Stegostoma tigrinum: one gene and its partner. The protein of the gene in region 1 interacts with the protein of each later gene in a biochemical or structural test. Links are inferred from orthologs where the notes say so. Each region holds a gene or a part of one and is shown on either strand. Other genes may lie near its edges.

What was found.
Region 2: of the proteins of tyrosine-protein phosphatase non-receptor type 22-like (region 1) and lck, one has a biochemical effect on the other in vitro, tested with the Homo sapiens proteins (3 studies listed by IntAct, with this or other methods). The link is inferred for Stegostoma tigrinum from reciprocal best matches to the Homo sapiens genes PTPN22 and LCK.

What each region holds. Positions count from the first base shown.
Region 1 is NC_081374.1:3,310,840-3,314,591, forward strand, and holds the start of tyrosine-protein phosphatase non-receptor type 22-like, read left to right. Parts: upstream 1-1,107; 5' UTR 1,108-1,191; coding exon 1,192-1,269; intron 1,270-3,752. UniProt on the Homo sapiens protein: Acts as a negative regulator of T-cell receptor (TCR) signaling by direct dephosphorylation of the Src family kinases LCK and FYN, ITAMs of the TCRz/CD3 complex, as well as ZAP70, VAV, VCP and other key signaling molecules.
Region 2 is NC_081377.1:45,812,673-45,816,424, forward strand, and holds the start of lck (tyrosine-protein kinase Lck), read left to right. Parts: upstream 1-1,049; 5' UTR 1,050-1,237; intron 1,238-3,752. UniProt on the Homo sapiens protein: Non-receptor tyrosine-protein kinase that plays an essential role in the selection and maturation of developing T-cells in the thymus and in the function of mature T-cells. Plays a key role in T-cell antigen receptor (TCR)-linked signal transduction pathways.

The sequences.
Region 1 (3,752 bases):
ACACACAGACATACACAAATACATACAGGCACAGATATGCACATAGACAGATACAAACTCACAAACAGATACACTCACAGACAGATACATAGAGATATACGCATGTAAAAGAACCATAGCTAACACATACCTCACACAAATACACAACCTCAGAGACTCACAGCAACCCCATCCCCCAGAAATATAACCCCAAACAAATTTTCAGTTTCCCCTACACACAAACAACCAAATAAACACACACATGTAAACACATAGAAATTGCCCACCCTATAGTACACACACAGAACAGGCAGAAATAAAATACAGAAGTATATAAATAAAAGTAAAAATGGATTAGATATCCAAGATTATGTAACATATTACATGCCAAATTTGTCTTTACAAGTATTATTGTAAAGTGATTTGAAGCATTTTATTCCAATAAGGGTGTTGTTTGTGTGTAGGGGAGACTGAAAATTTGTTTGGGGTTATATTTCTGGGGGATGGGGTTGCTGTGAGTCTCTGAGGTTGTGTATTTGTGTGAGGTATGTGTTAGCTATGGTCCTTTTACATGCATATATCTCTATGTATCCGTCTGTGAGTGTATCTGTTTGTGAGTTTGTATCTGTCTATGTGCATATCTGTGCCTGTATGTGTTTGTGTATGTCTGTGTGTGTGCACTGTGAATGTGTGTCTGTCCCTGTGTGTCTGTCTGTCTCTGTGTTTTGTACATGTGTGTGTAAGTGTATCTGCGTCTATGTGTATGTATGTCTGTGTATCTGTCGTCTGTACGTGTGTGTGTGTGTGCATGTCTTGAGTGCGTCACTTTGTATGTCTTATTTTTGTTCATTCACAGAATACAAGCTGTTACAAATCAATCACAGTTCCCTAACTTAAATATTTTAATGTAAAAGAGCAATCTCTCGAGTTGGAAAATGGGTGTAAAACTTTAGAGGCGCCCAAAAAAAACACGAGCGTATACCAAACAATGCAGATACTGTCTGCCATCGCCAAGAGGCACTAGGACCCGCAGAGAGCCTGTCTCTCTTCCCTTCTCTGACCGCAGTAACAGTGACTGCTGATTCCCTCCTGCTTGTGTTAAAACCGCAGATATGCAGTTCAAAGTCCTGCCTTTCAGGCCAGTTAAGTCTCAGCCTCTGTCATGTCCCGCAGTCGCTGGGCAGAGTTACCAGCAGCTCGCCAGCTGTCAGCATGGACCAAGGAACCATCCTGGTGAGGTTCCTCAGGCAGGTGCGCAACAAAGAGGAGATAACCTCGGGGGAGTTTCTGGTGAGTCTCTTATTGAGTTTGCTCTGCTAAAGGCGAGCCTGAGGGACAGAGAGTGAGGTACCGCTGTCCAGGGACACTCTGCCTTCTTTGAACGTGGGGAACTGACTGAGTCGGTTAGAGACAGGAGATAGTCCCGCTGTCTCCCCTCAGACCTGACACAGGGCTTCCTGCTTCTTCATTGAGCGCAGGGTCTCGCACTCGGGTTTCTGTGATCTTTTACTGCATTGTAAGAGTTGAAAGAGGAACAGTTTTCACCGCCATCAACTAAAGACCGTAAGTGGCTGGGGCGCGGAAGGAGATCGCTCGGCCCATTGAGTGGCTGCCCGTTCGCTATCGAGAGATAGAGCAACGAGTCGCTTGTGACTCGGAATTCTGTCCTGCGGATGTTTGCATTCGACGTTCAGTTTTTACAGAGAAAGTAGAATCTGAGGCAGTTTTCATGCTTAGAGGTGTCTGACTATGAATAATAACTGGTCCCTGCGAGTGTATCTGTAGTAGATAGAGGGGAACCCAGGAATATGTGAGTGTATAAACTAGGTCCTTGCCAGTCGGTCAGTGAGGATGACCTGGAGTGCTGTGTCACGTTTTGATCTCCTTACATAAGAAAGGAAAAAAGTCACGGTAGAAGCAGTTCAGAGAAAGTTCACTTTGCTGCTTCCTGCTTGTATGACCATGAAGCATTGAACAAGTTGGACATCTATCCTTTAGAGTTTGGAAGAATGAGAAGTGATCGTATTGAAATATGGAAGGTCCTGAGGAGTCTTGCCAGGTCTGGTGAGATAGGGTGTTTGCCCTTGTGGAGTGGTTCAGAATCGGGAGACACAAATTAAAAATAAGGGGTTTCCTATTTAAGAGAGGGACAAAGAGGGATATCTTTCTCTCAGTGAACTGTTAGTCTTTGGAACAAAAGCAGAAATTGCTGGTGAAACTCAGCAGGTCTCGCAGTGTCTGTGGGAAGAAAGCAGAGTTAGCGTTTCAAGTCCGCTGACCCTTCATCAGAATGTCATCATTAGTCTTTGAACCTGTTTCACTCAGAAAGCATGGAAGACTGGGACATTGGGTTAAACAGAGTGTTGATCAATGAGTAAGTATGGGGTTACAGGGGTCTGGGGGTGGTGGCAGACAGGACATTGGACCTAAAGCTACAACCATATCAGCCACAACCTTATTAAATGGCAGAGCAGGCTCAGAAGGCTGAACAGCCTACTCCTGTACTTAATTCTTGAATTCTTGTGTGTACACATTTGCCGTTTTTCAGGGGCTTCCTTCCGATGAAAGACTCTATCCCTGGGATTTAAGTTTCACTACAAACCTTTTCTATAAAGTTAAACTCATGTATAGTTCTGACCAAAGTTACTCCAACCCCTTTTAATTACGATTTTTGTCAGAAGATAATTTTTTCGACACTGTTTGCAGAGCAGTGAAAGGTATAAAATGGCAGGCCATTAAAGGGATTTGAAGATACTTTTGAAGTTAAGTTACTGGTTTATTTTTAGTACTGTGTAGCTATTCACAGACAACTAAACAACATAACGGAAGATCGTTCAAAATGGCTTTCTAGGCCACAGGAACTTCAACAGTATAGCTGGATGACTGAATGTAGAGAATTCAGCCTCATCAAAATGTCCACAAGCTTTCATCTGTACTCTGTAGCCCATGATTATACAACAGAGATCATTTAAACCATGGTCCATGTTCTGGCTCTTTTTCGGAGCTCATTATTTAGTTCCACTCCCCTGCTCTTTCCCCATCAGCCTGCAAACACTGTTTCTTACCGAATTCTCCTTTTGGAGATCAGTATTAAATATGCTTCCTCTGCCTTTGGAAGAACCACAACACCAGTTCTCCAAACCATCAGTTATAAGGAGACATTACATCAACTCAAGATAATAAAATGTGAGGCTGGATGAACACAGCAGGCCCAGCAGCATCTCAGGAGCACAAAAGCTGATGTTTTGGGCCTAGGCCCTTCACCTTATCTTGGATTTTCCAGCATCTGCAGTTCCCATTATCACCATTACATCAACTCAGCTTGTATTCCTTGGGTGATTTTGATTTAAGTTTTAGGATTTTGACAGAAATCGGCAGGGGAGAAAGCAGGCTGTTCCTGCTGGTAGGTGCGAATCCAGGCCACGAGGGTGTAAGCTTCAAGGGAGAACCAGGCAGTTCAGGAGAGGAATGGAGAAATACTTCATTTAAAGATTGATAGCATGATGGAACTGTCTCCAACAGAAAGCAATAGATACAAGCTTAATAATCATTTAAAAGTTTTGAATGGTGAGTTTTTTTTGCCATAAAAGGATGTGAAGTTAACACAACAAGGTGTAGATCTGGATGAACACAGCAGGGCAAGCAGCATCAGAGGAACAGGAAAACTGATATTTCGGGTCTGGACCCTTCTTCAGAATTTCAGCCATTACAGATCCTCACCCTTAACTCCACCTCTCTCACTTACTCCCAAAATCCCTGATTCCTCATTTCCA
Region 2 (3,752 bases), on another chromosome or scaffold:
TGCATTTTCCCAACTGACTCACCATTGCCTGGTTCATTCCAGGGCACGAAAGATTCCACTCAAATTGTTCCATACTCCAGCCATTCCCTGAGATGTGTGAGCTCCCAGCTTCACTAGGACATTTGTAAGTAGCATTCAATGGTAGAAGCGATGACAGCTGCCCCATACAGGCTGAGCAGTGTCAATGGGAATGATTGATTTGACTGCAACACAGAGAAGCCAGTGGAATTAGGCGAGGAAGATGTTTATGTCTGGGACTAGTGCAGGGACAAACTTGAACCATTTATTTACAATAATCAAATTGTTACCAAGTTTTAACAACAGAATATTATTTGGCCATTTTGTAATCTTTGGTGAAAGGGCTATTAACATGAGAAAGATATTTTCAGATCATCTTTCTTAGCAATGTTTTGACACACTTCTGGAGCAAGTGGGACTTGAACCCAACCCTTCTGGCTCAGAGATAGGGGCATGACCACTGTACCCCAAAAGCCTTTCTTGTTACCATTAGGAAAGGCAGCAATTTCCAACTTACACATGCGGGTTGATATCAAGTCCAACTGATGCACCAATGATGGTTCATCTGCATTGCTGAAGGCTCCAGCCTCACAGCAGAGCAGCTGCATGATATCTTACTACTTACTGCTTCATTTTGGGGACTTTTGTTTCGAAGGATTCCCAGTTTCCAAGGCAGTTTTACCTGTGGGTTGATGACTCTTGGAAACAGGCTTGAGGTTTCTCCATCTCATAGCAGCTGGTCATTTCTCTTACACCATGGCACGATTGTTCCTCGAAAAAACAAGCTGTTTTCAATGTATAGTGCATGAAGTAACTTTCAATTGAACTTAATTCTGCTATTGAAACCAACACACCTGCAATGAGGAACCCGAGAGATCAGTCTTAACAGCCTTCTCCATTTCTCTGCTGTTGCTCAATTCGACAGGAAGTGGTCGGTTGCCTTTTGCTGGCTGTGGAGATGAGATGATTTGTCAGAGAAGACAAAGAATCTCTGAGGTAAATGCCACGTTTGATCACAAGGTGCTGAACGATGAAACAACAACAATGTGTGTGGAACAGATCAATTAATTCAATGGGTTTACTTCATTGAGATTGGGTTTGTACAATTTCATCTTGCCTCAAAATCCAACCAGTTTGAACAAAAGGAATACCAACATTTTCACCGTCTTGAGTTAATAATACCATGCACGGGAGATAAAGTTTACAACCAAACAAAAAGGTAAGTTGAAAGTTTTTAAAGAGCTTCTGCAGTATCTTATACATCATTCTTTACAGCTCTGGAACATGTTGCTATCAAAATTATTTTCAATATCATGTGAAGATATATTTTCCTCTTTGTGGATGGCATAGATTTGTATTTTGAAGTAAGTTTGCTTCTAATGCTCCCTGGAGTTCAGGACAGTTGAGTAGCTTGGAAACTGTTGCACAATCAAAATGATATATCCCTGGATAAACTGATTGTATTTCATTATAAAACTGAAATACTGTTTAATGTCTACTGTGTGAGAATATGATTTTCTGCATAATTCTAACTCCTTCAAGCCACTGGATCAATATATTGTAGCAAATCCAAATACCATATTTTAAAATGTGTGGCAGTAAGCTATGCACCCTAACTGCTTACTTCAGGTTAACTGGGAGATATTTAAAAACAAAATATACATTATTTAAGACTTCCTTTTCTGTTAAGTTTATAACTATAACTCTCAAGTGTCCTGTTTTAACTGATTTCCTACTGATTTTCTGGTCATACAGTAAGCATTGAAAAGAATTCTGTTTGTTTATGGAATGGAGAAGTTTATTTACAGCAATCGCTAATATTCTGTTCTGGGTGGGATACTGTTTTACTGCTGAGTTATTCATTCTCACCACTCAAATATAAAATTCCTTTTTAGCGAGAGTCTGGGCATGATAAATGCCTTCTTAAATAACGTGCATTTATATAAGATAATTTACATGAATTTTTTTTTAATAATTATTAGGCATAGTGGAGAGTATGCTTGCACAGCCAGAAACAGCTCTAACATAACTGTGGATGTGACCACATGGATGTTCAGCGTGAATTCATTGTTGTTTGTCTTGCCCGAGAGCAGATTCTGGATTCATTCTCTGTTGATGCTTCATCCTGAATTGTCTTCTTGGTGGATCCTTTTCTTGGTGGTTTGTCATTGTCACCCATTCCCGGGGCAGGACGAAGAGGCCGGTCCTAAGCCAACTCAGCATTGGAATTAAACCTATGCAGCTGCTGTTATTTTACAGCACACACCGGCCATCTCGACAACAGAGCTAACCAGCCCCAATTCAACATAACATCCTCTTTCATATAGATCAGGGATAGAGAAAAAATGAAAATATGTTGGCATTTTGTGACTGGAAAAACATCTAGTTCTTCAAAATGCTAATGATATAATTGATGGTACCACACATTTTCAATTTATACATCCACAAGATTTTATCCCCAGGACAACCAGTAATTGCAAAATGGGCGTCATACTTATAAAATAAAGAAAATGAATAATTGTAACTTCTTTTACCACTGTTTGTTCCACATGATTTTTCTTGACTATCCACGAGGATGTATTTGTCTTGTGTCTCAATACAAAGTTCACACAATCCCAGTGTAGTATCCATTTGATAGGGATGAATATATCTGAGCCAACGAGCAACAAAATCAAATGTGAGATCTTGATCCAAAAACTGAACAGTGAGAAGGTACTCTCTTTAAAGCTGAGGACATTACAATTCTGTTAAATGAGTCCATTGCTTCTATTAATTTTTTTCCATTTTTCAAAGGCTTTAAGCGCAGGAGATTTCATTGAAACTGCCACAGCTTAGATTCACCATGGCCTGTACCTAGTTAGATTGAGTAATCTGAGCCAGCCCAGTTCAGTTCTAGAATTGATTTTAGTTTATATTCACTAAGACTTTGTCCATATTCTTTCAGCTAAGATTGTATTGTGGAGTTCTGCTGCATTGAACAATTGGAAATTCGCTTCTGATCTTTACTGCAATGACTTCCAACAAAACACACTTGCTGTGATTAAATAGTTTTGGAAGGAAAATGAGAATTGCAAATAAAAAGCATTCTAAAGTTCAACATTAAAAGGAATTTTATTATAGTATTGCTTCATGGTACATAATCTCAATAAATGGTTATATTCTTATAATAAAATAAAGAAAGTAGGGGTGGAGGTTAGATAGACCTCAGGTTTAGGATACAAGTTCAGCACAATATCATGGGTCGAAGGCCTTGTACTGTTCTATGTTCTATGTTCTATATTTTAAGGCGGATGCTGGACGTCTGAAACAGAAACAGAAAATGCAGGATAAACTCGGCAGGGTTGGCAGCATCTGTGGAGAATAAGCAGGATTAACATTTAGAGTCCAGAGGCCCTTCTTCAGAGGAAAAAGGATCTTCATTGAAGGGCCACTGGGCTCTGCTTTCTCTGCACAGACGTGGCCAGCCCTGCTGAGTTTCTCTGGATTTGCTTTATATAGGGAAAAAATCCCATAGCAAGTCATAAAACAAAACTTGACACCAATCTAAAGAATGAAATATTTGGGTAGACAGCTAAAATCTTCGATAAAATAATACATTTTAAGATGCATTGTGAATGAGAAATAGAGATGGAGCGGTATGAAGTGAGAATTCCAGCACTTAGGGTCTTGAGGCAGCTTGGGCTACAGCTGTCAGTGTAGGGCAGAGGGAGAAAGGGATGTACAATAATCCAGAA